4 linked regions of the Caenorhabditis elegans genome follow. The protein of the gene in region 3 purifies or fractionates together with the protein of the main gene of each other region. This does not show direct contact. Each region holds a gene or a part of one and is shown on either strand. Other genes may lie near its edges. The genes, in order: ttc-1, ZK1320.3, asp-12 and Y50D7A.10.

Region 1 (4,826 bases), on a different chromosome or scaffold from region 3:
TTGCAAAGAAAGCTCTTGATGAAGGACATTATGGAATGAAAGATGTTAAAGAACGAATTATGGAGTTTATTGCAGTCAATTTACTTCGAAAATCAATTGGTGGAAAGATTCTATGCTTCCATGGACCACCTGGAGTTGGAAAAACTTCTATTGCGAAATCAATTGCGACTGCCTTGAATCGAGAGGTTCAGTTTTTTTTCCTAAACTTTCTCTTGTTAAAATTAAATCTAACATTTGCAGTATTTCCGTTTCTCAGTTGGTGGAATGACTGATGTGGCAGAAATCAAGGGACATCGTCGTACATATGTCGGTGCAATGCCTGGAAAAATGATTCAATGCATGAAGAAAGTGAAAACTGAGAATCCTCTTGTTCTTATCGATGAAGTCGACAAAATCGGCGGAGCTGGATTCCATGGAGATCCCGCATCGGCACTTTTGGAACTTCTTGATCCAGAACAAAATGCGAATTTTAATGATCATTTCTTGGATGTTCCAGTTGATTTGTCTAGGTTTGAAGATGCTTCTCCTCTTGGTTCTATAATTTTATTTCTAATTTTCAGAGTTTTGTTCATTTGCACGGCAAACGAGATTTCAAAAATCCCGGGACCACTTCGTGATCGAATGGAAATGATTGATGTTAGCGGTTATTTAGCCGAGGAAAAAGTTGAAATTGCTCATCAACATCTCATTCCTCAACTCAGAAAAGACACATCTCTCGCCACAGAACAACTGAAAATTGAAGATTCTGCGTTGGAAGAGCTCATTAAGCATTACTGTCGTGAATCTGGAGTCAGAAATTTACAGCAACATATTGAAAGAGTATGTTTTGGTAAAAACAGGACGATCCGCGAGACCCGAAGAACTCGGGGGATGTCCAATTGGGGGGATTACCAACTCGGGGGATTGGCCCCGCCCACATAACCGTGGCTTGCAATACGCCCATTTCTGCAACTGCCGCACGGTTTTAAAACTGTATTTTTCTCAATAGAGCGAGAATTAACAAGAAAAAATAATTTTTAAACCGTGCGGCAGTTGCAGAAATGGGCGTATTGCAAGCCACGGTTCTGTGGGCGGGGCCAATCCCCCGAGTTGGTAATCCCCCAATTGGACATCCCCCGAGTTCTTCGGGTCTCAGATCCGCGCCTCGAGTTGATTGTTCTGTTTCGACAATTATATTTAGATTGCTTATAGAAATTACCTTTTTTTTCCAGATTTTCCGTAAAGCAGCTCTTCAAATTGCTGAACAACAAAACGAGGATGAGGAGCCAGCCGAAAAAGCAACAACTGCTATCACTGAAAACTCAGAAGCCGAACCAATCACCTCTACATCATCTGCAGATTGTTTAAAATCTTCAGCCGAACAAATTGTAGTTTGCACAGAAAACTTGCAAAAGTTCGTTGGAAGACCCAAATTCACATCAGATCGAATGTATGAAGTAACACCGCCTGGAGTAAGCGAAAAAACTGTTTTAAAAACTTAATTCACGTTCCGTTCAGGTGATAATGGGTCTCGCATGGACAGCAATGGGTGGATCTGCACTTTATATTGAAACTGTATTGAAACGACCTGTTGATTTGACAAATGATAAGGATGGAAGTATTGAAACAACTGGAAATTTAGGAGATGTAATGAAAGAAAGTGTTCGAACAGCGTTGACTGTTGCAAAAGGAATTCTTGCAAGAGAGCAACCCGATAACAAATTCTTCGATAAAGCACATATTCATATTCATGTACCCGAAGTGAGCTTAATCTTGAAATAATTTCAACTAACCAATTCCATTTTTCTAGGGAGCAACACCAAAAGACGGACCATCTGCAGGAGTAACTCTTGTCTCAAGTCTTCTTTCACTCGCTTTAGACCGACCTGTTGTGCAGGACATGGCGATGACTGGTGAAATTTCATTAACCGGAAAAGTGCTGCCAGTTGGTGGAATTCGGGAAAAAGTGATCGCGGTGGGTCCTCTGTTCTTTTTTCGTTCAAAAATTTCATTTTTTTTCAGGCTCGCCGTGTCGGAGCAAAACGAGTCTTCCTTCCAAATGAGAATCGTCGAGACTTTGATGATTTACCAGAATTCATGAAATCAGAGTTGGATATTCGATTCGTTTCGCATTATGATGAGCTCTACGAGCATCTCTTCCAATAATACGTGTCCCTTTCTTTCACCCCCAGTTAATACCTTTCAGATAGATTTTGTTGATTCACCTAATCCATTTTTTCTTGTTTTGTTATTTTAAAAACGTTTTGAAAAGAAAAAAGTTCAGGCTATAAACATTTTCCTACTTTTATTTTTGTTTTTTTTTTAATTTTAATAATCTCAAGTTGTTTGATCTTTTCAAATATTTTTCATTTAAATTCTAAATAATATTCTCTTTATTTAAAAACCATTATTTTCAGCTTTAGAAATGGCAATTATCGAAGAAATTTTCGAGGATGAAGAGGATCAGATAACAAAAGTGGATTCATTGAAAAAAGAAGGAAATAATTTCTTTGCGAATGGAGAATTCGAAAAGGCGAATGAAAAATATCAGGTATTGGAATGTTTTGCAAACGTGCGGCGCGGTTTGAAGCTTGTCGATTTACGCAGGATTTTGTACTACACGTGGACAAGTATTAATTCAATTTTCATATAATTTTATAGTAAAGAAAACAATAATTTGAAAAACAAAAATTTTGATTTTTAAAAATATCGAAAAATTACAAACAAGAATTTTAGCTGAAAACTACACAATCATCTCAAAAAAAATCCCCACTTGTCCGAGTGTAGTACAAAATTCTTCGTAAATCTACATGCATACAACGCGCCGCAGACTTGCAAAATTAACGGCTTGATCGGTCTATTTCGACAGTATACAATTGAAATTTTTCCAGGAAGCCATTGCCTCGTGCCCTCCAACATCCACAGAAGTACAATCGATTCTTCTTTCAAATTCAGCAGCTGCACTTATCAAGTTAAGAAAATGGGAATCTGCTGTGGAAGCTGCGTCGAAATCAATTGAGGTACTGAAGAGAGCATGAAATATTACACAGACGCGAAATTTTCCCAATTTCGACCACAAAATACGGCCTTGTCACTAAAATTTGGCGTTAAAATGAATAAAAGTTTGCAGCTTTAAGTATTTCTGAAATTTCCAACAAAAATTTCGATTTTCATTTTTCCTGAAAATCAAAAAGAAAAGGGTTTTGAAAATTGACAAAAAAATCCTTTTCTTTATCAAATTTTGTTTACTTTTACGAAAAAAACATCAGGAAACACATAATTATCTTCTACAAGAGGAAAAATTGGCAAAATTTTAAGATATTTTTCAAAAAATTAAAAAAAAATCGAAATGTCGGAAAACTAATTTCTCATAAATCGAAAACCCGGCTCCTATAGTTGGAAACTACAGTAATCCTCAAAAGGCGTCCTTTTGCATTTAACAAACGGTTTTCGTGTTGAGACCCTTAGATAGCAAAATTTTGCGACTTACTATTAGCTAGTTAGCTTGAAACAAATAAAATCAATTTTCAGATTGGAGCAACCAACGAGAAAGCACTGGAACGACGGGCGTTTGCATACTCGAATATGTCAGAAAAGTATGAGAATTCTATTGAAGATTATAAACAGTTACAGGTATCGATTTTGGTAGATTTCTTTTTGAAATTAGAAGTAAACTTTTTCCAGGAATCTCTTCCAAAACGCCGCGTCGAACTTGATCGGAAAATCGCTGAAATCAATGAGAAAATTAATAATCGAAATGAGGCGATGAAAGCCGATGTGATGGAAAAACTGAAGGGTTTCGGAAATTTCTGTCTATCGCCGTTTGGGCTCTCGACAGACAGTTTTGAGATGGTCCCGAATGGAAATGGAGGATTTTCGGTTCAAATGAAAGGTGCTACGAATAAACAAGAAGGTGCAAGTCAGGAAAAGAAAGAAGAGGAAAATGCATAATTGGCCGACATTCTTTGAATTTTCTGTACATTTTCTATCTGCATTCCGGTTAATAGTCTTCTTGCTTTCAATTTCGTGATTTTAAAGATTAAAATGAACATTTCTATTTGTATTCGTGAAATTTTAATCGCTCACACTAAAATGTTCTCTGGTCTCGAAAAGATCGAAACTTTAAGGCTACCGTATCAGGGATGGAGGGGATCTACAAAAGGGTCATTCCTAAATATATGATAACTCATCTTTTGAAATGAAATTATATCGTTTACTACAATGTAACTACATATAAAATGCAGTTTCGTTCTGTTCATATGTAGTTTGATCTCTGATCTTTGAACTCTCTTTTCTCTAGTTCTGTAGATGTATTGTACTGGGAGTTTATGGAATAACGTTATAAGATATAAAAACACTTTGAATATTCAAAAAAGTCAATTTATTTCCATAGAAAGAGAGCTATTAGGTTGCCTGCTCCACACTTGGCTTCTGCGGATTCTTGAACTCGTTGATCTCAGCCTCCTCCCAATCGTACGGGAATTCCTGTAATTATGATAAATGATAACACTTTTATTGTGTGAAAGACATACATTTTTGCCACTGAAGAGAATCGCGTTGGTGAGAAGTCCGTAGATTTCTGTGTAGTTCGGAGTGTCGGTGAATGAAAGTTTGTCAACCTGAAAAAGAATGGATTGTTAGGGGAAAAGTTGCAAAGGAGTTGCCTACTATTTGCATAATGTCGACGAATTCTGGTGGAAGACCTCCGAGCATTTCACGCATTTGAAGACCATTTCGGCACAACTTTTGATAGTCATGCACTTCTTTTGGTTTCTGGAAAAGGATACATAGAGAAGGGCTTTGATATATGTCAAAAATGCATTTACACCTACTTCGCCGTGCAAAGT
Region 2 (4,620 bases), on a different chromosome or scaffold from region 3:
GATTGGACAAAACTTTATGGTCCAATATATGGATACACTGAAGGAACCATTAAAACTCTAATTGTTTCTGATATCGACATTGTTCGTCAAATTTTTGTTGAGCAGTATGACAACTTCTATGGTAGAAAACTGAATCCAATTCAAGGTGATCCGGAAAAAGACGAGAGAACTAACTTGTTCTCGGCTCAAGGATTTAGATGGAAAAGGCTCAGAGCTATATCTAGTCCTACTTTTTCGAATAACAGTTTGAGAAAAATCAATGTAACTGTGGAAGACAGTGCGATGGAATTATTGAGACATATTGAAGAACAAACTTCGGAGGGACAACAAATTGATATGTTACAGTGAGTTTTCGATGTATTGGAAAAGTAATTTAAATTTTAAATTACAGATTCTACCAAGAGTTCACAATGGATACTATAGGACGAATTGCAATGGGTCAGACCGACTCGCAAATGTTCAAAAATCCACTTTTGAAGTTTGTCAGAGCGGTTCGTTTTGGTACTATTACCAGTGAAATTCAACATATATTTCCAGATATTCGGAGATAATCGAAAGCATATTCCCCTCATCGGTGGAGTTTTTCCTACTCTTGCTCAAGTTTTTCGATTTTTTATGTTGAAATTTCCATTGTTGGGAGCAGCCAATTTCATTCACGTCAACAAAACTGTTGTGACAGCCGTTCAAAATCGTATAGATCAGAGGGAGAATGATAGAAAAAATGGAATTGAAATCGGAGAGCCACAGGATTTTATCGATTTATTTTTGGAAGCAAGAGCAGATGATGTGGAGCATTTTCAAGAGAATAATGGGGATTTTTCAAAGACTAGTAGCTATGTGAGTTTCAGGAGAAAAATTATTCCTGAATTTAAAAAATTGCAGGGAAACCGTCAACTAACAACTCAAGAAATAGTCGGTCAGTGTCTCGTTTTTTTGATTGCTGGCTTCGATACAACTGCTCTATCCTTATCCTATACTACATTTCTCCTAGCAACACATCCAGAAGTTCAAAAGAAATTACAAGAAGAAATAGAACGAGAATGCATAGAACCATCAATTTCATTTGATCATCTCTCAAAACTAAAATACATGGATTGTATTATCAAAGAGACTTTACGTTTGTACCCTTTGGGAACAATGTAGGAGTTTTAAATTTATACTTCACATAAAAAAACAATTATTCCAGGGCGAACTCTCGGAGATGCATGAGAGCCACTAAATTGGGAAATGTAGAAGTTGAAGTTGGAACAATGGTTCAAGTAGATACTTGGAGTCTTCATACTGATACAAAGATTTGGGGAGATGATGCGAAGGAGTTCAAGCCAGAAAGGTTTTTTTTTCAAAATTAAAAAATATATTCAGATGTATTATTGGCTTAATTTTTGAAAGTTTTAAAAAGCGAATCACTTTGGAGAGTATTCCACCTTTTAAATTATTTAGTAAGAGATCCTACTAGTTATTATTTCAGATGGCTTGACCCCAACTGTGACCAAGTTTTCCAAAAAGGAGGATATATTTCATTCGGATTAGGACCTCGTCAGTGCGTTGGAATGCGATTGGCTTATATGGAGGAAAAGATGCTCTTGGCTCATATTCTTAGAAAATATACATTTGAAGTTGGCACCAAGACAGAAATCCCATTGAAATTAGTTGGAAGAGCCACGACTCAACCGGAAACTGTTTGGATGCATTTGAAGCAAAGGATATGAACTCAATAATTTTCGACCCTCTTTGTTTGTATTTTAGTCATCGAAAAAGCTTTCAAATAAAACTTTCTTGCTTTTTAGAGTCTGAAAATGTTCAGCCTATTTTCTGAGAAACTCGTCTATCCTTTAATTGAAGAACAATTTTGAAAAACATATCAGACTAATTTGGTATTTCTACTAATTTTACTCGCATAAACTTTTGAATCATCTGATTGTGAGCAATATTGGATCAAGAAATCAGTTTTGTTAAGCTGCTGGCTCCCCGGAATCAATGCTCATAAACTTATCTGTAAACAACTTGTCCTTTAACTTTTCCAGTGATATCATTAGTGCTTTCCCATTTTTCTATTTAATATTCTTATCACTATAACTGAATGTCAAAAGAAAACGCTCATAATTTAAAAAACGTCAGTTTTAGACTGATAACTCTCTCCACAATTCATACTAATTTGACCATTTGCTACTTAAATTTTTTGAAGCATATATTTATATTTTCAGGAGAATGAAGTTTCTTCTTATTGCTTGTTTGGCAGTTCCTGCAATCTTAGCTCAACAGACGTCTGCTCCAGGTGGAAATTTGTGTACTTATCCTCCACAAGGAGATGAATCAAACCAAAAGGCTGTTCCTATTCAGGACTTCAGAACGTCTGGATTAGATTTCGTTAGGTCAGTTTATGTTCAAAAATTGGAACAGCTTTAGTAATGATTGGTTTAGGCCGCGGCCAAGTTATGTTGAGCCAACTCTTGATGGTCTTACTAGTTAGACCCAGAAAAATACTTTGGCAACAGTGGGATACTAAACGATTACCAATTTTTGAACCACATAAATAGCCGAATATCTTAATTTAAAAAGTTTCAGACCAAATTGGTGCATCACCCACTGTGCTGACCGCAAATCTGTCAAAGCTGCTGTTCGCTTCCAATTTGCCAATCAGTCAACTGCAGTCCGTAAGTTAACATAGATCAGTACACTAAAGTACATGTAAAAACATTTGGAACATTATGAAAATACCAGTAAACATCCTAGAATTTAATGGGAATTTTCAGCAACCTACAAAGTTCGCCGTACTTTCACCCGTTATTCAGGAATGAAGGTTCATGCTGAGCTGATCAGCGGAAACCCGACCAAGCGTGACGATGATCCTTTTAGTAAGTGATTTCATCTTATGGTATAAATACATGTCAAAATTTCAGACTTCTGTATGGACGATGCTGTGTCGGCCCAGATTGATACTATTGTCAACACCTACAATGACATCGAAACCATGTCAGAAGCCCTCAACTTCTATATCAACAAGCCAGGATGGGCGTATATTATTTACGATGTAAGTTACACAAGTTTTTTTTTGGAAAATATATAGGTGTCTACTATTTCTACTTGAATACATATATTCAGATGGGAGTACCACCAAGCATCATTGAGACTGACAATGTCAAACACGATATGAACTACTGTGAGAAGTCTTCTAACAAGGTAAGTACTCAGAAAATGTTGTAAAATGCAACAAAACCAGACCTGCAAGTATCCGAATTAGAAATTAGACCTCACCAAATTTTACAAATTTTTCAGCAAATGCCGGATGGAACCTACATGACATATCAAGTATTCGCAGGACTTATCAAGGCTAATTGATTTTTTTCTTTTAATTTTTAATAAACGATTTAACTATTTAAAGTTTTACATTGAATATTTGATTCTTATTATTCTCAAAATGAAATCATTAGTGATTTTTCAATATTTAATTTTCCACTCTTTATTTTCCGTTATCAACACATTCAACTGGCAAAAGAGGAGGCCGGTGATGTGGAAAATTTCAGTTTTTAACTGATAACTTCCGATAATTTGACCATTTGCTACTCGCTTTGAAACGTTTTTGAGTATAGTTTCCTTTTCATTTTTATCGAGAGTTTTTAGGAAAATGAAGCTTCTTCTCCTTGCCTGCTTAGCAGTTCCAGCAATTTTTGCTCAACAAACTTCTGCTCCAGGAGGAAATTTGTGCAATTATACTCCAGTTGGAGATGAATCCACACAGGATGCAGTTCCAATTCAAGATTTCCGATCCTCTGGATTGGATTTTGTGAGGTTAGTATATTCCTTTTCAAGATTAAATTAAGAATTCATGTAAAGTCAGAGTGTCTGATCTAGAATTGTTTTATCCTTTTAATCAATAATTTTAAATTTAATTATTCAAATCCAGATGAAAAAATCCATTTCTACTTTTCAGACCAAATTGGTGCATCACTCACTGTGCTGACCGCAAATCCGTCAAGGTTGCTGCACGTTTCCAATTTGCCAATCAGTCAACTGCAGTTCGTAAGTTAGCGTTCAAAAAATATTGAAAGCCACTTCCTAGTTTTGAAAAATATAATTGAAATAAAATATGTGGAACTTTATCTAACTCATTTTCATATATTTCAGCAACCTACAATGTTCGCCGTCACTACACCCGTAAATCTGGAGTCAAGGTTCATGCTGAGCTGATCAGCGGCACTCCAACCAAGCGCGATGATGATGATTTCAGTGAGCTCCTCTTTTTCTAGAGTAAACCTGAAATTCATTTGTTTTCAGATTTCTGCATCGACGACACTGTTTCTGCAACAATCGATACGGTTGTTAAGACTTACAATGACATCGAAACCATGTCAGAGGCTCTCAACTTCTATATCAATAAGCCAGGATGGGCTTATGTCATCTATGATGTAAGTCATATCAGAATCAGAATTGGCTCACTGCTGATAAAATCCAAAAATTCAAATCCGAACTTTAACCCTATCCATTTAAGATGGGAGTTCCACCAAGCGTCATTGGAACCGACAATGTCAAGCAAGATATGAACTACTGCGAGAAGTTTGCCCAAAAGGTACACTTTTATTATCTAAAGTAGATAAAGCTTTTCTACTTTCAGCAAATGCC
Region 3 (4,624 bases):
GTGGAATCGAACTTGCTCTTGGTCTTGCAGTTGGTCCTTCAAATAATCTTTTTAAATATTTCAGAACTGAAATCTACTCACTTGCAGGTTGGTCCTGGAATCCAGAGGTTAGAGGATCCGGTATCCAAAACAACGATGAATCCTTGATCTGGGGTTCCGATGGTGATGTTTCCGAGGTACTCGAAATCTCCAAAGTCATTGACATTTTGTGGGAGATTAGCAAGAACATTTGGGGACACAGCTCTGAGATTTCTCTGGTATTCAAGGTAAGCTGGATATTGTCCAGTACGGATCATTCCCATCTTCTTGGATTCCCTCCATACGATCTTGTGTTGATGGACTGAAGCCGATGCAAGGCCAAGAACGGCCAGAAGGATGAAGGTCTTCATACCTGAAAATAAATATTTCAGAAAAATATTCTAAATGGAAATGAAATTGAAAGTGTAGATAAACGAGTGAAATAATTTTCAATTTCAAGAGCAAAAATTGAAGTAGAAAATGTCAGATAGTGCTATGTTTTATACTTGTTGAGAAAACTCATGGGCGCACTGACGTAAGTTTAATTGGTTGATAAGAACCGCCTTCTTATTTGGTTTGTACCCGATCGGTGCGATTCTTATCACTAAAAAATGAAGTTTAGTGAAGAGAGTAGTGCCGATGATTCCGGCTTCTGGAAGTAACGACTGAAAACTGACGAAACAGCTTTTATGAGCTAATAAAACTCGAGTATTAACTGAATCAAAAGTGCGTAAAGTTCCGTGAACGGTACCCGGAGATGGATGACATTTGAGTCAAGTGCTGATAGGTCAATACCAGGTACACACGTAGGTTTACTGGCTAAATCCGGAGTAATACGTGATGAATTACGTAAGCGATAGGAAAGTATACAGTTTGAGCATGGCTAAAACTTGAACAGACAGAGTCCAAAGGATGATATAATGAATGACGAGAGCCTTATTTAAGGCATCACTGTAAGATTTTCCAACAATTCAATTTGCTCTGTATTATAGTTTTCAACATTATACAGTTTTTGAATTGAATAAACTTTTTGAGTTGGAAGGTTCTTAACGGCACTTTCTATCTCATCTTACTTCACAGTTAGTAAAATAGTTACAATAGTGCCCATTATTTGAATTTTATTTGAAAATTATGTCCATTTCCAATTGTTCCACAGCATTTTTTTTTGCAAAACTCCATATTTATATGTAGATAAACTTTTTGCCAGAAAACTTGCCAGGGAATAGTTAAGGATGAATTTTCAGCCTATCTTCCTAAAGACCCCAAATATAAAATTTTTGGTGGATTGCAGAGAAAGCTAGGCATGGTTTCAAGTTTTACAGTTCACCCTTTTGAATTGGAAATCCAATTAATACTGTACGCTTGTTTTGCAAGTGTACCCAAATGACATCACTATTTTCTGCAGTTTTTTTTCCGGCTCTGTATTATTTTGGCAGTCAACATGATAGCTTTATTGACATTTCTTTAAATCAAACGTTTTCCTCAATCATTTCCGCTGTTTTACTTCTCAACCTGTGACAGTACAAACATCTTGATCATCACGTGCCCAATAGCCAGGCATGTTGACTATGAGCCGGAACTTTTCTAGATAAGCTTCTTACGAATCTAGATACGTATTCTGATTTATTATCAATAATTTATCGCATCAGATCAAGAAAGTGAGAGTTCTTGCGTCAGATTGAAAGAATAATGGCCAAAGTTTCCAAACTTTGCACGGACATTCTAGTTTGCAAAGTTATGAGCTGAAGAACGAAAAATATTAGGTTTCTATGGTATTTAATCTTAAACGCATAAATTTTAGGAAGAAAGAACCATTTTAGTTCTTGAATACTTGTATTACACTTTCAAATACCCATATTTCAAGCATAATAGGACTACTGAACTTTTTATCGTACCGGGCATTCACACAGTCTCGCACAAAAGTCAACCTAAATGATATTGTATTTCAAACAGTTGTTCGTTGAAAAACTAGTAGAATCAAGAAACAAACATGATTTCAACCAAAATTAATGAAACCTCTTTTATTTCAAAACACAACACGCACTGAAAACATCGAAATATTCAATAAATCTTTTCAGAAATGAAGACAACTCTTCTCGCTTTTGTAGCCATTCTTGGCATGTGCTCGGCAACTGTGGTTCAGCATAAATTGATCTATCGGGAATCGCCAAAGATGCAAATGATGAGGCGAGGAGAATGGGGAGCATACGTTCAACACAAGGCTGCCCTACGTGACGCCAATCCAGCTGTGTTCGCCAGTGCTCCACAAAATGTCAATGATTTTGGAGATGTTGAATACCTAGGAAATATCACGATTGGAACTCCTCCACAACAGTTTATTGTCGTCTTGGATACTGGTTCTGCGAATCTCTGGGTTCCAGGAAGTAACTGCGAGTCAGTAGCCACCTTACACAATGGTTTTTAAATTTTTATCATTTTCAGTGGAACATGCAAAGGAAAGAGCGAGTTTGACTCATCTAAATCTACAACATTCAAGAAAAACGGACAATCATGGCAAATTCAATACGAATCTGGAAGCGCTAAGGGAATCATGGGAGTAGATACTGTTGCTTTTGGTGGTGCTTCAGAACAACAACTTCTTGTCCCATCTACCACTTTCGGTATTGCCTCTCACATTTCGTCTAACTTTAAGAATGTAAGATCTATTTCCCAGATTATTTGATTCTTCATCGGAACGAAACTTTCAGGACGCTGCTGAAGGAATTCTCGGGCTTGCCTTCACATCTCTTGCAGTCGACGGAGTTACCCCACCACTGATCAACGCCATCAACAAGAAAATTCTCGATCAACCTCTGTTCACAGTCTTTTTAGAACATAAGGGAACGGCAAAGAATGTTGGAGGAGGTGTCTTCACCTACGGAGCCGTTGACACTACCAACTGCGGACCAGTGATTGCCTATCAACCACTTTCATCTGCCACGTATTATCAGTTTGTTGCTGATGGATTTAAGCTCGGATCATACTCAAACAATAAGAAATCTCAAGTGATTTCCGACACTGGAAGTTCGCTCATCGGAGGACCAAGTGCTGTGATAAATGGCTTCGCTCAAGCTTTGGGAGCAAAAGTGAGTATCAGTTTAATTTTGACTCGTTGTGAGGGACAAACAGTTTTTTTAATCTTTATATCTAAACCTTTTCCAGTACCACAGCGATGATGATGCTTACTACCTCCCATGCTCAACATCTAAGGGAACTTTGGACATTACTATCGGAGGAAATGTGTATTCTATTGAACCTGTCAACTATATCCTTGATGTTGGAATGGGTGACACTTGTGTCTTTGCTGCTTTCTCATTCGATTTCGGAGGATTCGGACCATCATGGATTTTCGGAGATCCTTTCATCCGTCAATACTGCAACATCTATGACATCGGACAACAGCGCATTGGTTTTGCCAAGTCTCTCCAGCCTTCTTCAAAATAAACTCTATGCAATGCGATTGTGAGAAATGAAAATGAATACTTCAATTTACTTTTCTTCAGTGTGTGATCTACGTGATTATGGTCAAAAGTCCAACTTATACATATCGTCATGTACACCTTATTTCTTTTTTCATTTTCTGGACAATTTTGTGAAGTGAAAACCCACGTCACAGACCGTTATCTGATTGAGTATAAATGATAAGAAATCATTGTCAACTCAAATAAAATAGGAATTTGTTAACTTGTAGTACGAATTCTCCTTATTCTTATCTATTTCATAGACTGAGCTGTTTCATTCGTATTACCTTTTTTCTGTGTTTTGTCAGCTTTTCCTACTATTTATAATTTAATGTTAACTTTCACGACCATTTTTCCAGGTATGAAGACCACTTTCGTAGCACTAGTTGCCCTTTTGGGCCTGTGCTCGGCAACCGTTGTCCAGCACAAGCTGATCTACCGTGAATCTATCAAGATGCAAATGATGAGACGTGGAGAATGGGGAGCATACGTCCAACACAAAGCTGCTCTTCGTGACGCTGACCCAGCTGTGTATGCCAATGCTCCACAAAACGTCAACGACTTTGGAGATTTCGAGTATCTCGGAAACATCACCATCGGAACTCCACCACAGCCATTCCTCGTTGTTTTGGACACCGGATCTTCAAACCTCTGGGTTCCAGGACCATCTTGCGAGTGAGTAAATCCTTGTTGTTTTTGATTTTTGATAATTATTTTCCAGTGGATCCTGCAAAGGAAAGAGAGAGTACCAATCAACAAAGTCCTCGACTTTCAAGGCCAACGGAAAGCCATGGCAGATTCAATACGGATCTGGAAACGCCAAGGGATACTTGGGAGAGGATACCGTTGCCTTTGGAGCCGTCACCGAGAAACAACTCCCAGTTCCATCTACCACTTTTGGAATTGCCACACACATTTCATCCGACTTCAAGAATGTAAGTTTATAGTGTAACAAGAACTAATGTATATTTCAAGTATCCGAAAATCTATTTTAACACATGTTTTTTTCCTTCTGTTTTTTTCATTTTCTGTAATTAGAAGGACAGAAAAATGTAAAGCAAACAGCTTTTTAGTGCCGATTTTTATGACGATGACTTTAAGAATGCATTTTTACGATCATTATCAGTTCAAACACAGTGGCAAAA
Region 4 (8,671 bases), on a different chromosome or scaffold from region 3:
GAAAAAATTAAAACAGAAACAAAATGAAAAAAAAGAAGAAAGGAAGAAAGAAACAAATAGAAAAAAAAACGAAAATAAAGAAACAGAAAGATAAAATATAGAGAAATAGAAAAAAAGAAGAAACGAAAGAGAAGAAAAAAAAAACAAAAATAGAAAAAAATAGGAAAAAAAACAACCAGAAACAAGAGAAAAAGAAAAAAAAAAGAAAAAAACATTTTTCTTTTTCTAAACTAAAAAAATCCATTTTTTTGGAGAATTTCCAAAAAAAAAACCAAAAACTCAAACATTTTAAATTTTAACGTCTTTTTGCATTTTTTTGGGTTTCGAGAATAAAATTTTTGTTAAAAAAATTTAAAAACACCCTAAAAATTCTGAAAAATTAATTTTTTTTTCTTCAAAATTTTGTGTTTCTAAAAAATATTTCAAAATTCCTAAAAATTTTCAGTTTTCGCTAAAAATCCACGTGGAAAATTGAAAATTTCTCCAATTTTTCTCCGCAAATTTCAGACTCAAAATACTACAACACAAGCCGTATGGACTATTTGGCTCCGCGAGTTCCGATGCGTAATAGTGCACTGAAACGTCTATCCGTCTACGTGGCAGAAGTACCGTGCCACGTGGAATTTGAAGAGTTTGACGAGTTACGGTATGGCGGGAATTTGAAAATTTATTTTTGAAAAAAAAAAAAAATTTTTAGCTAAATTTTTTATAAAATTTCGAGTTTTTTGAGCTTCAAAATTCAATAATTTTCAAAACCCACCTTAAGCTCCGCCCCTTTCTGACCCGAAATTTTGTTTCAGCTGGACACCACAAGCTGAGCAGTACCCATCTCCTGTAGATACTGACGGTTATTTCCTCGTCGGATCCCATCATGACGTCATCATGCACTCGGGACGTGTCCGCTACCCAGGAACACTCGAAAAAATGGGACAAACTATTCTGTTGACGCCAATCGCCGAGAAATAACGACGCTCCGCCCACTAATTTGACCGATTTTTCCGGAAAAATCACTTTTATAGCCCCGCCTCTTTTTTTTCTAGGCTCCGCCCCTTTCTTGGCAAATTTCCAGACTCCGCCCTATTCTTGGCAGTTTTATTCGGAAAATGCATTTTTTTTTTCAATTTTCACCTAAAATTCGTATTTCCCAAAAACTTTTGCTCAATTTCCCGATAAAATCGATAAATTGTTAAGCCCCGCCTTCTTTTTCTAAGCCCCTCCCCTTTTTTGGCAATTTTCCAGACTCCGCCCCATTCTTGGCAGTTTTAGTCGGAAAATGCATTTTTTTTTTTCAATTTTCACCTAAAATTCGTATTTCCCAAAAACTTTTGCTCAATTTCTCGATAAAATCGATAAATTGTTAAGCCCCGCCTTCTTTTTCGAGGCTCCGCCCCTTTCTTGGCAATTTTTTTTCAGAAATGGGTAGATCACTCATTTTTTGTGGGAACTTTCAAAATACTTCAACTTTTGCTTATTTTTACGAAAAAAACAAAATAATTTCCAAGCCCCGCCCCTTTCTTGACAATTTTCCAGACCCCGCCCCTTTATTGGCACTTTTAGTCGGATAACTGAATAATTATTTGATTTTCACCTAAAATTCGTATTTCCCAAGGAATTTTAGCTCAATTTCCCGAGAAAATCGATAACTTCCTAAGCCCCGCTCTCTTTTTTCGAGACTCCGCCCCTTTCGAGGCAACTTGTCTGACTCCGCCCCATTCTTGGCAGTTTTAGTCGGAAAATGCTTTTTTTTTTCAATTTTCACCTAAAATTCGTATTTCCCAAGGAATTTTAGCTCAATTTCCCGAGAAAATCGATAACTTGTCAAGCCCCGCCTTCTTTTTCGAGGCTCCGCCCCTTTCGTGGCAATTTGTAAGACTCCGCCCCTTTTTGTTTTTGACAATTGTTCAGATTCCGACCCTTGCTTGGTAACTTTTTTAATATTTCTTGTTGTACATTTTTGTTCGTAATGTATATTTATTGCATAAGCTCCGCCGCCATTTCTTGGCCCCGCCCCCATCCTATGAGGCTCCGCCTCTTTTTCTATACCAACAATTTCTTTTTTGTATTTTATTTCTCTGACATTCCTTTGCTCATTGTCTTTTTTGAAATTTTTTGATATTTTATAATAAGCTAGCCACGCCCCTTTCTTGGGTGTGGCTCCGCCCCTTTATTGGATTTTTTTTCAAAAAAATTTACTCTCTCTCTATTTTTCTTAATTTCTTAATGTCGTCCAGAATCGTTTTTCAAAAACGATTTGAATATTTTTCATCATAAGCCCCGCCCCTTTCCTCCCTAACCACGCCCCCACTTTGCAGAGATGACGTCATCGCTCACAATATGCTCAATTCCAGACGGAGTGAAGGAGGATTTGAAGAAGTTTCGATTCTCGAAGAGTACAACGATGAACGCTTTGATTTGTAAGTCCACCACGCCCATTTCATGGCAGATTTTTCGAAAACTAAGCCACGCCCACTTCTCTAGGCGCCGCCTATTTCTGGGTCAATTTTTGCTAAAAATCGTGAATATAGAATAAGATTAAAAAGGCCACGCCTAGTTAATGGCGACAAATGCAATTCTAAAAATAGGCCACGCCTATTTTTCTAGGCACCGCCCATTTCTCTAGACTCCGCATCGTTAATGGAAATCTGCCAAATTTTATGAGTTTTAGAAAATAAATTCTGGTAGACTTATCGGAAAGTACCATAGCCCCGCCTACTTTTGGAGGCTCCGCCCACATTTTATCCCAGGCTCCGCCCCTTTAATAGAAACCAAAAATTTTCTCAAAACTTGCCGAAAAAATGCAGGTTTATATAGATTCCAAAAAAAAAATTCCAAAAAAATTTGGTCACGCCCACTTGCGGAGGCTCCACCCACTTCTTGGCATAAGTCATTGAAAATGCAAATTTTTGCGAAAAAAACACTGCAACTTTTTCCTCACGAGGGACGAGGAAAAGTGGTTTCTAGGCCATGGCCGAGGGGCCGACAAGTTTCAGCGGCCATTTATCTTGCTTTGTTTTCCGCCTGTTTTCTTTCGTTTTTCATCGATTTTTTCGTTTTTTCTTAATAAAACTGATAAATAAATATTTTTTGCAGATGCTAAAACAATTTCCAAGTAAAAAACTTATGTATTCAGTGGGCAAGCAGCGGTGAAAGTGGTCAATGCAATATGATGGATTACGGGAATACAAAACCTAAACTTTTTCTGAAACATGATACATATGCTGCTTAGATGCTGAAACTACCTGATTTTCATAACGAGACCGCTGAAAAAGTTTTGAGGTTTCCGAAATTCAACTTTTTTTGCGAAAATCTCGGCTTTTTCACCAAAAAAGTTGAATTTTGGAACCTTCAAAACTTTTTCAGCGGTCTCGTTATGAAAATCAGGTAGTTTCAGCATTTAAGCAGCATATGTATTATGTTTCAGAAAAAGTTTAGGTTTTGTATTCCCGTAATCCATCATTTTACATTGACCACTTTCACCGCTGCTTGCCCACTGAATACATAATTTTTTTTATTTGGAAATTGTTTTAGCATCTGCAAAAAGTATTTATTTATCAGTTTTAATAAGAAAAAACGGGAAAAAGCTGTGAAAAACGAAAGAAAACAGGCGGAAAACAAGGCAAAATAAATGGCCGCTGAAACTTGTCGGCCCCTCGGCCATGGCCTAGAAACCACTTTTCCTCGTCCCTCGTGAGGAAAAAGTTGCAGTGAGAAAATTAGTTTCTGGGCTGAAATTTTCGGTTTTTCCCAATTTTTCAGTTGTAAAAATCCAAAAAATTGCCATTTTTCAGTGAAAATCGACCGGGAATCGCATGAGCTTCAATCGGAGCAACTGCTCAATGATTGCTCAATTGAAGAGTTTAAAGAAGAGCTTCCAAGTCAACAACCACGGTTTATTCTACTCAGTTGGTGCAAAAAACATTCGGACGAACGAATTTCATATCCAATGCTTCTGATTTATTATTGCCCAAATGGTAAAATTTTTTTGTCGAAATTTGTCGAAAAATCTCGAGAAAAACGCTAAAAATGTTATGTTTTGCCGGAAAAATCGGGTAAATTCTGAAGTTGTAGAGCTAAACTTAAACGAAAAATGGTCAAAATCTGCTCATTTTAGAAAAAAAACCAAATATCGCCTAGCCCCGCCCCTTTCTTGGCAAATATTTCAAATGTGCGGACTCCTCGTACTCATTCGGTGATTTTTATGCCGGAAAACTCAAAATTCTACAGTTTTCTACTTGAAACTTTACATTTTTGAAGAAAATTTGCGCATTTTCACTAGGAATTCAAAATTTGTGTAAGCTCCGCCCATTTCTTGGCCAATATTTAAAAATGTGTTACATATTCCGCTTTTTCGGTGAATTTTTTGCCGGAAAACTCAAAATTCCACAGTTTTCAAGCAATTTTGCGTACTTTCACAAGAAACTAAAAGTTTGCGTAAGCTCCGCCCCCTTTCTTGGTAAATATTTCCACAATATCCAAACTCCGCCTACGTTTTAGATGAATTTTCCGCCGAGAGACTCAGAAGAAGAATTGTCTTTTCGTCTTTTGAACTGATATTGGTTTGGGGTTAGTGAAGGGATATGGTCGGGGTACTGTAGGGGTACGGTAGGATTACTGTAGTTTTGGAAAAATTGTCTTTTCGTCTTTTGAAGGGATATTGGTTTGGGGTTAGTGGAGGGATATGGTCGGGGTACTGTAGGGGTACGGTAGGATTACTGTAGTTTTGGAAAAATTGTCTTTTCGTCTTTTGAAGGGATATTGGTTTGGGGTTAGTGGAGGGATATGGTCGGGGTACTGTAGGGGTACGGTAGGGGTACTGTAGTTTTGGAAAAATTGTCTTTTCGTCTTTTGAAGGGATATTGGTTTAGGGTTAGTGGAGGGATATGGTCGGGGTACTGTAGGGGTACGGTAGGATTACTGTAGTTTTGGAAAAATTGTCTTTTCGTCTTTTGAAGGGATATTGGTTTAGGGTTAGTGGAGGGATATGGTCGGGGTACTGTAGGGGTACGGTAGGATTACTGTAGTTTTGGAAAAATTGTCTTTTCGTCTTTTGAAGGGATATTGGTTTAGGGTTAGTGGAGGGATATGGTCGGGGTACTGTAGGGGTACGGAAGGATTACTGTAGTTTTGGAAAAATTGTCTTTTCGTCTTTTGAAGGGATATTGGTTTAGGGTTAGTGGAGGGATATGGTCGGGGTACTGTAGGGGTACGGTAGGATTACTGTAGTTTTGGAAAAATTGTCTTTTCGTCTTTTGAAGGGATATTGGTTTGGGATTAGTGGTGGGATATGGTCGGGGTACTGTTGGGGTACTGTAGGGGTACTGTAGTTTTGGAAAAATTGTCTTTTCGTCTTTTGAAGGGATATTGGTTTGGGGTTAGTGAAGGGATATGGTCGGGGTACTGTAGGGGTACGGTAGGATTACTGTAGTTTTGGAAAAATTGTCTTTTCGTCTTTTGAAGGGATATTGGTTTGGGGTTAGTGGAGGGATATGGTCGGGGTACTGTAGGGGTACGGTAGGATTACTGTAGTTTTGGAAAAATTGTCTTTTCGTCTTTTGAAGGGATATTGGTTTGGGGTTAGTGGAGGGATATGGTCGGGGTACTGTAGGGGTACGGTAGGGGTACTGTAGTTTTGGAAAAATTGTCTTTTCGTCTTTTGAAGGGATATTGGTTTAGGGTTAGTGGAGGGATATGGTCGGGGTACTGTAGGGGTACGGTAGGATTACTGTAGTTTTGGAAAAATTGTCTTTTCGTCTTTTGAAGGGATATTGGTTTAGGGTTAGTGGAGGGATATGGTCGGGGTACTGTAGGGGTACGGTAGGATTACTGTAGTTTTGGAAAAATTGTCTTTTCGTCTTTTGAAGGGATATTGGTTTAGGGTTAGTGGAGGGATATGGTCGGGGTACTGTAGGGGTACGGAAGGATTACTGTAGTTTTGGAAAAATTGTCTTTTCGTCTTTTGAAGGGATATTGGTTTAGGGTTAGTGGAGGGATATGGTCGGGGTACTGTAGGGGTACGGTAGGATTACTGTAGTTTTGGAAAAATTGTCTTTTCGTCTTTTGAAGGGATATTGGTTTGGGATTAGTGGTGGGATATGGTCGGGGTACTGTTGGGGTACTGTAGGGGTACTGTAGTTTTGGAAAAATTGTCTTTTCGTCTTTTGAAGGGATATTGGTTTGGGGTTAGTGGAGGGATATGGTCGGGGTACTGTAGGGGTACGGTAAGATTACTGTAGTTTTGGAAAAATTGTCTTTTCGTCTTTTGAAGGGATATTGGTTTAGGGTTAGTGAAGGGATATGGTCGGGGTACTGTAGGGGTACGGAAGGATTACTGTAGTTTTGGAAAAATTGTCTTTTCGTCTTTTGAAGGGATATTGGTTTAGGGTTAGTGGAGGGATATGGTCGGGGTACTGTAGGGGTACGGTAGGATTACTGTAGTTTTGGAAAAATTGTCTTTTCGTCTTTTGAAGGGATATTGGTTTGGGATTAGTGGGGGGATATGGTCGGGGTACTGTAGGGGTACTGTAGTTTTGGAAAAATTAATCCTTGAATTTTAACACTTTTGAAAAAATCCAAAAAATGTTTGGCGCGAATTTTGAATTTTCTGACAGAACAAATTCAGAATGTGAGTAAGACCCCGCCCCTTTCTTGGGGGCAAATTTTTCGAATGTGCGCCCTCTGCCTACTTTTTGGTGAATTTTCTGCCGGAAAACTTAATATTCCACAGTTTTCTGCTTGGATCTGTACATTTTTGAAGTAATTTTGCGCATTTTCACTAGAAGTTCAAATTTTTGCCTAGCCCCGCCCCCCTTTCTTGGCAAATTTACAGACTCCGCCTATTTTTCGTGAGTTTTTGTTGCCGGAGAACTCAAAATTCTACAGTTTTCTACTTTTGGAACTTTATATTTTTGAAAAACTTTGCAGATTTTAATGAAAAATTCGAATTGTTGTTTTTAGCCCCGCCCCTTTCTTGGCCAAATTTTCAAAAATGCCGATTTTGCCCATTTTCTAAAACTTTGTGTGGTCGAAAATGTCAGCATTTTACGATTCGAAGCTTAAATTTTTGAACTTTTAAAGGAAATGTGATGTTAGGCTCCGTCCACTTAATTGAAGGCACATGTTTATCGAATTTTCCAAGAAAGGGGCGGGGTTTCGCCAATTTTATCCAAAAAAAATTTCACGGAAATGTAAAATTTTGTCAAAATTTTAGAATTTCGTGATGAATTTTCGATTTTTTTGAAATTGAAAAAAAGGCGTGGCTTGCTGGACTTGGCCCCGCCCCCTCTTTCTTGACTAATTTCTTTGAGAATGCAATTTTTTCTGGGATGATTTTGCCGGAAATCTTAGAAATCCCCACTTTTCTGCTTGAAAGTTTACATTTCACTGCAACTTTCTCCTCACGAGGGACGAGGAAAAGTGGTTTCTAGGCCATGGCCGAGGGGCCGACAAGTTTCAGCGGCCATTTATCTTGCTTTGTTTTCCGCCTGTTTTCTTTCGTTTTTCACTGATTTTTTTCGTTTTTTCTTAATAAAACTGATAAATAAATATTTTTTGCAGATGCTAAAACAATTTCCAAGTGAAAAAATTATGTATTCAGTGGGCAAGCAGCGGTGAAAGTGGTCAATGCAATATGATGGATTACGGGAATACAAAATCCAAACTTTTTCCCAAACATGATACATATGCTGTTTGGATGCTAAAAGTACCTGATTTTCATAACGAGACCGCTGAAAAAGTTTTGAGATTTTCAAAATTCAAATTTTTTAGTGAAAAAGTCGAGATTTTTGCACAAAATGTCGAATTTTGAAAAACTCAAAACTTTTTCAGCGGTCTCGTTATGAAAATCAGGTAATTTCATATGTATTATGTTTCAGAAAAAGTTTAGGTTTTGTATTCCCGTAATCCATCATTTTACATTGACCACTTTCACCGCTGCTTGCCCACTGAATACATAATTTTTTCACTTGGAAATTGTTTTAGCATCTGCAAAAAATATTTATTTATCAGTTTTAATAAGAAAAAACGAAAAAAATCGATGAAAAACGAAAGAAAACAGGCGGAAAACAAAGCAAGATAAATGGCCGCTGAAACTTGTCGGCCCCTCGGCCATGGCCTAGAAACCACTTCTCGTCCCTCGTGAGGAAAAAGTTGCAGTGCATTTGTGAAAAAAAATTCACGGGTTTCAACAAAAATTTAGAATGTTTGCTTAGCTCCGCCCCTTTCTCCTTGCTCAGTTTAGGCTCCACCCACCTAATGGAAAACAAAAAAAAAAGGATTTTTTCACAGGAAGCAGCCCGGAACTCCAAATGCTGTACGCTGGGAGCCGTAATTTCATCGTCAACGAATGCCACGTGTCAAAGGTGAACAGAAAATTAGAAATTGTGCGGAAAATAATCAATATTTACACTTTTACAGAACACGGAAATCCGAGATATCGATGAAATCGACGACGAACTGCTCGAATCGAAATTTTGAATTTTGAATTTCCACCGCCGGCTGAAGATATTTATACGATAATTTATTTATGTTAATTTGCGATTATACAGAATATTCAGACAATAAATATTTATTTTTCTCGGAAATTGAGTTTTTGAACATTTTATGGGAATTTCAAAATTGTGATTTTTTGCCATAACTAAATTAGATGGCTTAAAAAAATTTGGGCAAAAATAAA

The links.
Region 1: the proteins of asp-12 (region 3) and ttc-1 fractionate together in Caenorhabditis elegans (co-fractionation; one large-scale study listed by BioGRID). This does not show direct contact.
Region 2: the proteins of asp-12 (region 3) and ZK1320.3 fractionate together in Caenorhabditis elegans (co-fractionation; one large-scale study listed by BioGRID). This does not show direct contact.
Region 4: the proteins of asp-12 (region 3) and Y50D7A.10 fractionate together in Caenorhabditis elegans (co-fractionation; one large-scale study listed by BioGRID). This does not show direct contact.

The regions. Positions count from the first base shown.
Region 1 is NC_003279.8:10,674,382-10,679,207, reverse strand, and holds ttc-1 (TPR_REGION domain-containing protein), read left to right. Parts: upstream 1-2,396; 5' UTR 2,397-2,404; coding exon 2,405-2,530; intron 2,531-2,870; coding exon 2,871-2,999; intron 3,000-3,510; coding exon 3,511-3,612; intron 3,613-3,663; coding exon 3,664-3,930; 3' UTR 3,931-4,040; downstream 4,041-4,826. Other genes in the region: lonp-1 (Lon protease homolog, mitochondrial), read left to right, coding at 1-185, 241-509, 561-819, 1,212-1,451, 1,498-1,740, 1,790-1,954, 2,002-2,145; C34B2.3 (Protein kinase domain-containing protein), read right to left, coding at 4,384-4,464, 4,512-4,598, 4,648-4,752.
Region 2 is NC_003280.10:9,658,004-9,662,623, reverse strand, and holds ZK1320.3 (uncharacterized protein), read left to right. Parts: upstream 1-2,204; 5' UTR 2,205-2,208; coding exon 2,209-2,372; intron 2,373-2,565; coding exon 2,566-2,654; intron 2,655-2,753; coding exon 2,754-2,855; intron 2,856-2,900; coding exon 2,901-3,031; intron 3,032-3,102; coding exon 3,103-3,180; intron 3,181-3,276; coding exon 3,277-3,339; 3' UTR 3,340-3,378; downstream 3,379-4,620. Other genes in the region: cyp-13A10 (Putative cytochrome P450 CYP13A10), read left to right, coding at 1-344, 392-491, 538-837, 883-1,139, 1,187-1,330, 1,469-1,709; ZK1320.2 (uncharacterized protein), read left to right, coding at 3,626-3,789, 3,932-4,020, 4,126-4,227, 4,276-4,406, 4,490-4,567, 4,613-4,620.
Region 3 is NC_003283.11:8,268,547-8,273,170, forward strand, and holds asp-12 (Peptidase A1 domain-containing protein), read left to right. Parts: upstream 1-2,096; 5' UTR 2,097-2,098; coding exon 2,099-2,412; intron 2,413-2,460; coding exon 2,461-2,674; intron 2,675-2,726; coding exon 2,727-3,104; intron 3,105-3,180; coding exon 3,181-3,462; 3' UTR 3,463-3,510; downstream 3,511-4,624. Other genes in the region: asp-6 (Aspartic protease 6), read right to left, coding at 1-36, 82-389; asp-5 (Peptidase A1 domain-containing protein), read left to right, coding at 3,841-4,154, 4,201-4,414.
Region 4 is NC_003281.10:313,148-321,818, forward strand, and holds Y50D7A.10 (ADF-H domain-containing protein), read left to right. Parts: upstream 1-2,312; 5' UTR 2,313-2,314; coding exon 2,315-2,414; intron 2,415-3,788; coding exon 3,789-3,971; intron 3,972-8,283; coding exon 8,284-8,357; intron 8,358-8,412; coding exon 8,413-8,472; 3' UTR 8,473-8,569; downstream 8,570-8,671. Other genes in the region: Y50D7A.1 (F-box domain-containing protein), read left to right, coding at 508-646, 801-966.